2 linked regions of the Nothobranchius furzeri genome follow. The protein of the gene in region 1 interacts with the protein of each later gene in a biochemical or structural test. Links are inferred from orthologs where the notes say so. Each region holds a gene or a part of one and is shown in the gene's direction. Other genes may lie near its edges.

Evidence for each region.
Region 2: the proteins of chd4b (region 1) and adnpb form a complex in vitro, tested with the Homo sapiens proteins (2 studies listed by BioGRID). The link is inferred for Nothobranchius furzeri from reciprocal best matches to the Homo sapiens genes CHD4 and ADNP.

What each region holds. Positions count from the first base shown.
Region 1 is NC_091745.1:74,017,800-74,021,615, reverse strand, and holds part of chd4b (chromodomain-helicase-DNA-binding protein 4), read left to right. Parts: intron 1-245; coding exon 246-367; intron 368-445; coding exon 446-619; intron 620-3,816. UniProt on the Homo sapiens protein: ATP-dependent chromatin-remodeling factor that binds and distorts nucleosomal DNA. Acts as a component of the histone deacetylase NuRD complex which participates in the remodeling of chromatin.
Region 2 is NC_091755.1:48,128,667-48,133,171, reverse strand, and holds the start of adnpb (activity-dependent neuroprotector homeobox b), read left to right. Parts: upstream 1-1,573; 5' UTR 1,574-1,780; intron 1,781-4,505. Other genes in the region: dpm1 (dolichol-phosphate mannosyltransferase subunit 1), read left to right, coding at 1-26, 139-243.

The sequences.
Region 1 (3,816 bases):
TGGTAACTGGATGGTTAATCCCACGTTCGCGACGTGGTTAGCACCGGTTCCCGGCAATAGCTGGAAATTATAGCTTTAATTTTTAACATAGCTTAAATTTGGTCAAAGTGGCCTTAAAAAAGCCTTCAAAGTCTTAAATTTGGCTCCCTTAAACCTGCAGATACTCAATGCTTTGCTGTGCTTTATGAATGAGCATATTTTCAGAGATTTCTTGTCATTTTCCCTGTTTTTCTCTCTAATTCTAGTTCTTTAGGCAGTTGAACAACTATTCACTGCAACACAAACTTCTGCTCACTGGAACCCCTCTTCAGAACAACCTGGAGGAGCTTTTTCACCTGCTGAACTTCTTGACTCCAGAGAGATTCAAGTTAGTTGCTTTATGTTTTGTTTTTGTGGTGAAGCTCACAGGGACAGAATTTTAATCATTTGTTCATATTTTTTGCAGTAACCTTGAAGGGTTTCTGGAGGAGTTTGCAGACATCGCCAAAGAGGACCAAATCAAGAAACTCCATGACATGTTGGGACCCCACATGCTCAGGAGGCTGAAGGCCGATGTGTTCAAACACATGCCTTCTAAAACAGAACTCATCGTTCGAGTGGAGCTGAGCCCCATGCAGAAGTAAGTAGGGTTGTCACGGTAACCGGTGTAGCGGTAAACCCCGGTAAAAAAGTTGACGATAATAATAACCGTCTTGTTTTTTAAAAAATATATTATCTCGGTGGATTACCGTGGCTGCGGTATAGGCGCGGTGACTCTTACCAGCCACCGTATCATCTGCTGAAGTTGCCGGCGGCACATGCACACTTTGTCGTCGTCTTCCTCCGCTTATCCGGGTCCGGGTCGCGGGGGCAGCATCCCAACTAGGAAGCTCCAGACTGTCCTCTCCCCGGCCACCTCCACTAGCTCCTCCGGCAGGACCCCAAGGCGTTCCCGGACCAGATTGGAGATGTAACCTCTCCAACGTGTCCTGGGTCGACCCGGGGGCCTCCTGCCGGCAGGACATGCCCGAAACACCTCCCCAGGGAGGCGTCCAGGAGACATCCTGACCAGATGCCCAAACCACCTCAACTGGCTCCTTTCGATCCGGAGGAGCAGCGGTTCTACTCCGAGTCCCTCCCGAATGTCCGAGCTCCTCACCCTATCTCTTAAGGCTGAGCCCGGCCACCCTACGGAGGAAACTCATTTCAGCCGCTTGTATCCGCAGTCTCGTTCTTTCGGTCATTACCCAAAGCTCATGACCATAGGTGAGGATTGGGACGTAGATCGACCGGTAAATCGAGAGCCTGGCTTTCTGGCTCAGCTCCCTCTTCACCACGACAGATCGGCTCAGCGTCCGCATCACTGCAGACGCCGAACCAATCCACCTGTCGATCTCCCGATCCCTCCTACCCTCACTCGTGAACAAGACCCCGAGATACTTAAACTCCTCCACTTGAGGTAGGACCTCTCCCCTGACCTGGAGTTAGCAAGCCACCCTTTTCCAGTCGAGAACCATGGTCTCAGATTTGGAGGTGCTGATCCTCATCCCAGCCGCTTCACACTCGGCCATGAACCTACCCAGCAAGAGCCGAAGATCAGAGCTGGATGAAGCTAGGAGGACCACATCATCCGCAAAAAGCAGAAACGAGATTCTCCTGCCACCAAACTCGACACACTCCACACCACGGCTGCACCTAGAAATTCTGTCCATAAAGTTAATGAACAGAACCGGTGACAAAGGGCAGCCCTGGCGGAGTCCAACCCTCTCCGGGAACAGGTCCGACTTACTACCGGCTATGCGGACCAAACTCACCCTCCTCTGGTAAAGGGACTGAATGGCCCTTAACAGAAAGCCACCCACCCCATACTACTGGATGACCCTGGGGACACGGTCATAAGCCTTCTCCAAATCCACAAAACACATGTGGATTGGTTGGGCAAACTCCCATGCCCCCTCCATCACCCTTGCAAGGGTATAGAGCTGGTCCATAGTTCCATGGCCAGGACGAAAACCACATTGCTCCTCAATCTGAGATTCAACTATCGATCGGACCCTCCTCTCCAGTACCTTGGAGTAGACCTTTCCAGGGAGGCTGAGGAGTGTGATCCCCCTATAGTTGGAACACACCCTCAGGTCACCCTTCTTAAAGATGGGGACCACCACCCCGGTCTGCCACTCCACAGGAACTGCCCCCGATGACCACGCAATGTTGTAGAGACGTGTCTACCACGACAGCCCTACAACATCCATAGCCTTGAGATACCCAGGACGAACCTCATCCGCCCCCGGGGCTCTGCCGCTGTGCAGTTGTTTGACTACCTCAGCAACTTCTGCCCCCAAGATTGGACAGTCCATCCCCAGGTCTCCCGGCTCTGGTTCCTCCTTGGAATGCGCATAGGTGGGATTGAGGAGCTCCTCAAAGTATTCCTTCCACCGTCCGACTATATCCCCAGTTGACGTCAGCAGCTCCCCATCCCCACTGTAAACAGTGTGAGCGAGTTGCTGCCTTCCTCTCCTGAGGCGCCGGACAGTTTGTTAGAACCTCTTTGGAGCCGATCGATAGTCTTTCTCCATGGCCTCACCAAACTCCTCCCACGCCCGAGATTTTGCCTCGGCAACTGCCACTGCTGCACTCCGCTTGGCTATCCGGTACCTGTCTGCTGCCTCCGGAGACCCACAGACCAGCCACGCCCTGTAGGCCTCCTTCTTCAGCCTGACGGCTCCCCGAACCTCTGGTGTCCACCAGCGGTTACGTGGGTTGCCACCACGACTGGCACCGGCCACCTTACAACCACAGCTAGCAACAGCCGCCTCAAAAATCGCAGAGTGGAACAAGGCCCACTCGGAGTCAATGTCCCCCACTGCTCTCGGGACGCGATTAAAGCTCTGCCGGAGGTGGGAGTTGAAGACCATCTTGACAGGTTCTTCTGCCAGGCGTTCCCAGCAGACCCTCACTATGCGTTTGGGTCTGCCAGGTCTACGTGGCATCTTCCCCTGCCATCTGATCCAACTCACCACCAGGTGGTGATCAGTTGACAGCTCCGCTCCTCTCTTCACTCGAGTGTCCAAAACATACGGCCGCAGATCAGATGATACGACTACAAAGTCTATCATCGACCTGCGACCTAGGCTGCCCTGGTACCAAGTATACCGATGGGCATCCTTATGTTCGAACATGGTGTTCGTTATGACCAAACTGCAGCTTGCACAGAAGTCCAATAAGGAAACACCACTCGAGTTCAGATCAGTTCCTCCCAATCACACCCCTCCAGGTCAAGCTGTCATTGCCCACGTGAGCATTGAAGTCCCCAAGCAGGACAATGGAATCCCCCGATGGAGCACTATCTAGCACTCGTCCCAGAGACTCCAAAAAGGGTGCGTACTCTGAACTGATATTTGGCCCATAAGCACAAACAACAGTCAGGACCCGTTCCCCGACCCGAAGGAGGGAAGCTACCCTCTCATCCCCCGGGGCAAACCCCAACACACAGGCAGAGAGTCTTGGGGCTAACAAAAAGCCAACCCCAGCCCTCCGCCTCTCACCCGGAGCAACTCCAGCAAAGGAGAGTGTCCAACCCCTCTCAAGGACTTGGGTTCCAGAGCCAATGCTATGTGTCGAGGTGAGTCCGACTATATCTAGCCGGTACCGCTCAACCTCTGCCACAAGCTCCTGCTCCTTCCCCGCCAGCAAGGTGACGTTCCATGTCCCAAAAACCAGTTTTCTTGTCCGGGGATCGGACCGCCAAGGCTCCCGCCTCGGTCTGCCACCGGATCCACATTGCACTGGACCCTTCATGTTCCTCCTGCGGGTCCACAGTTGGATGAGCCCATGTAT
Region 2 (4,505 bases), on another chromosome or scaffold:
GACAGCTCAACTACACAATTGGAGAGGTGTTGACCTACCACGCTGTTGGGTTCTTTGAATATTTGTACTTTGTATGAGTTCTTCTCAACGTTTCCGCTGAAATTAAACTAAGGTTTATTTTCTCCTCGTCGTTCGCAGGTTCCTATTTCCTTTGTGGATCGGGTTTATGGAGAGTCAAAACTGGGAGGGAATGAGATCGTGTCATTTGTGAGAGGACTGCTCACACTCTTCGCCACGACGTGATCAGCGATGTTCAGAGCTTCTGGGAGCTTTTTTTTTTCCTCGTTCCACAAGTTTGTCTTTAAAACAGAAGTTTCACCAAATTAAAAACAAGAGAGAGACGTTCACCACTTTCTGTAATCATACGGTGACAGGACAACACAGGAGAAGGAAGGTGTTAGCAGTTAAAACTGTGGAAGATGTTCTTTTCTGTAGTTTTCAGAATGCTGAAGAAATGGTGATTCCCAAGTCTTGTCAATCCCATCGCAGAATGTTTCTGGAATTCTTTATTATTACAGTTTGCAAATGCATAAAAATAAACACGTTTTAATTGTAGACTCTTGTTTGTTTATTTTTAATTGATCCAATGGAAATTGTATGCGAATTTAAATGAACTCTTGACTTAAGAAACAGAAACCTGAGACTGATCACACCTGCCATATCCAAAAATTAGAAATTGACTCCATTTATATACTTGTAAGACTTTTAATGTCGGCATACATCAAATACCCAAAAATATCACGGACATGTCTGGATTATCCAGGAAGAAACACTTAAAGGATCTAAGATCTTTGGGAATCCACGTCTGCTATTAAAGGAAACATGCTAAAAGCTGTAGTTTAGAACATAATCTGGGTTTTTGTGTGAGAAGATGTCTGTATTTTTCATTTAATTGGAAACAAACCCTAGACACTTGTATTAAAACATTTTAGAAGAAAAAGTTCATCAGTAACCATCAAATAAGAGGTTTTATAATAACTAGAAATGCAGAGTCCGGTCCCACCTTACAGGAAAGTAGTCCCGGCTGAATGGATGGAGGTATCACAGCGCCACCTAGTGTTGGCCCGGCCTCCAGCTGCGTGCTGAGGCACTGTGCACATCCGAGCCTCCGCAGGGGAGGAGCTACCAGGACGCCCGCTACCGGACCGTAAACGTAACTGCTGCGCCTGGTTGTTTACCCCCGCAGAGAGAGACAGGAAATCAATACCGTCCACAAACTTTAAGACAACGGAGGCATTTATTATTTTAAGCAGATGTTTGCCTAAATGTTCGAACTGATTGGCAAACCAATCATGAGAGCGAGGACCTGGTCTTATTATTTATGCTAATGAGGAATATGTCACTTCCGCTTCTTTGATTTGCGCCATTTTGGATAGGGCAGCTGGTTGGCTGGATGTGTATTGTCTGTCGGGAGAGAACGGGTAAAAAGGAACCCGCTGTTAGAGAATTACGATCAGAGTTGAATTAATTAATTCACCAGAGTGTAAAGTACGTCGGTAGTTGACATGTGTCTACCTTCACCGCTCCAGGAAACGGAGGTTTTAATCGCCCGCCGAAGCTCTCTCTTTCCGTTCTCCGACCACGGGAAAGCGGATAGCCCTCGTCGCTGAGGGGCTGTCGGGCTGGGAAGGTAGACCGACGGCCCGGGTGACTTCTCCCCCACAAAGCACCTGGGAGGGAATTACCGACATATCCGTGCAAGCGGGAGCGTGAATACTCGACCTCGGTCATCCTGAGGTGACACATTTAATTCAGACGGGAGCACTGGATGTAAAAGCAGGTAAACCTGGATGTCCTAATGCCGGGGAGAGTCCACAGATGGTGGCCGCTTGCCGCTGCCTACCTGCGGGACGGGATGGGTGGTGGTGGCTAGTGTTAGTGTGTCGGGGTGGTAAACAAGTTTCATTCTTAAATTAAACGCATCGTGATGTTATTGAAGAACCAAGAGAAAATGCGACAGCTTTCGTTTCAACCCATGTTGTTGGGTGTTAGCTTAGCATGTTAGCTCAGCGCGGCACCACCATCCCTCCTTTGTCAGTTGCAGCAGCTTTTTGCTTTTAACTATCTGGATTCTGTCAGCTGTCTTGGATATTTAACTCATCACGAACACCACGGATGGTCCACAGTTTGTTCTGTTCGTTGCTACAGCGACCGATCTGTCCTGTGGTTATTATGGGATTGTAGGAGAGTGACCACATTAGTGTAAACAGTTTGGTTTTGAACCCGATTGTGAGGAAGTGTTTATGAGGGAGTCCTGGTTGTCTGTGATTAGACAGGTGAGTTCAGGTGTGTGCCTCTAAAGGGGAGCAGTGCTGCCATGGTCACCCTCAGACATCCTGTCACCTTTAATACCGTTTACAGGTGTTGAGCCGTGTGGTGAAACCTCATCAGAGGCATTTAAGACTATTATTCTTCTATTAAAGCGAACATGGATGTCACAAGAAGTGTGACCTCTTAGTAAACGTGGAGGAATGGTAAACATGAGGGTTGAGAACATTGGTTATCACATCCTGTTGGATTATTCGGCAGCATTTAAAGATTTCAAGGCCTCTTTTCTTTCTCTTTAGCACCACTGCAGAATGGGAAACATGTTCTCTGCCAGCAGCCATCGCCACAGCAGAGCAGCCTCTTCCTGCATTTCCTCCCAGTCCTCTTCCTTCTCTCCCTCCTTTCCCTCCTACTCAGCCTCTCCCTGGCTATCTATTCTCCCCTCCCCTGCTCTGCATCGCCCTCTCTTTCTCTCACCCTCTTCCATTTTCTGTCCCTCCAGCCTCCCAGTCCTCCCTTCCCCTCTCCTCTCTGTGTGCCTGACCTCCCTGCCTCCCCCCCCCTCCCCTTACCTCCCTGGCTCACCCCCCCCCCCCCATCTCTCCCCTTGCACTCCTTCTACACTTACCCGCTCACTCCCCCTTCTCTTCCTCCATGCACACTCCCCCCCCCATGATTTCTTTCTCTCACTCCTTCTCTCCCTCCTCTTCCTCTCCCTTCCAACATCACTCTCTCCTCCACTCCCCTCCCCCTCTGCTGCAGACATATTGTAGGGGCTGCTGCTTACTCAATAGGAGGCGCCATTCTGTGATGGTGTTGCAAGGCTGGGAGAAAAGGGGCCAGGCAGAACGTAGGGAGGCTTACATAATGGGAGTCCTCTGCTGCACCATCTACAAGAAAGGGAGGGAAGCAGGAGAAAGGCAGGTAGGGGAGAGGTGGGTCGTTGACTTTTAGGATGCAGGTGGGTCAGCCAGGCAGGTGATGGACCCACAAAAGCATCTATATCTCATTTCCTCAGATTCCTCAAGGGGTAACGAGCTGAGATGTTAACAGGAATTGTTGGAAATGTAGATTGTTGTCCTAGTGTACCAGTGACCTTTGACCTTCCTGCATGAAGCTTTGATTTGAACAGAGCTTGTTTCTTGAGCAATAGAACTAAAACATTTAGCTGAGTCTGGCAAATTTAACAATCTCATTTATACAGATGTTAAAGCATCCTAGAGTTGATCTTGTTGAACATTGGGAGCTAGGGGGATCGGATGCACCATTCCTAAAGTCTGTGCCGTCTCCGACCTGCTTTTTATGTAACGATCAATAGTCATAGACAAACCAACTGAAACTTGCATGTCCCAACCCACCTCAACGTCAGCAGTTTACAAATGTTGGTAGTTAGAATGCTAACCACACAACAACACTAGCCCGAACTACTGCTAACATCCTTGTTGAACGTGAGGAAGACATCCAGGCGTAACGTTCTAGGGTGGACTGGGGTTATCCAGACTACCCCTGAATGCTTATAGAATTATCCATATGATGTAGCATCATTGAGACATCAAGGTCAACTGACCAATCAGTGCTCTGCTTGGTCTTCCTGTTGTAGGGCTTCATTAAGGGGGTGTGGCTGGTCATTTATCAGGGCTCTTGGGTCATTGTGAGCCCCAACAAAGTTTCATTTAAAATGGTTTGTTTGGCTGTTGGCCTGTTCCAGCAGAACTCATAAAAGACGTTGATTCCATTGATTGGATCAGCTGTTGTTGGACTTGAACTTTCTGGTCCGTACCAATTTTTTTTTCTCTTAGTAGGAACAAAAGTCAGTCATCACGGTTGAGATTTAATGTACAACAAATACTTTACATTAGGGCTGCACGATATTAGGAAAACCTGCGATATTCGATAACCGTGCTTAATATTGCGATATCGATATTACTCACGATAAATGAACAAATACTAAAGTATGCAGTGCTGATGTCGTCTGGCGTGTGACGTCTGCTCTGGGTTCAAAGCAAACAAAAACTAATGCATGAATTCCATTACAACATAACATTTTTATTGCAAAACTATGCAGCTGCACCTGCTGCTGTATTAGCAGCTGCACCCGCTACTGTATTAGCAGCTGCACCCGCTACTGTATTAGCAGCTGCACCTGCTACTGTATTAGCAGCTGCAGCTGCTACTGTATTAGCAGCTGCACCCGCTACTGTATTAGCAGCTGCACCCGCTACTGTATTAGCAGCTGC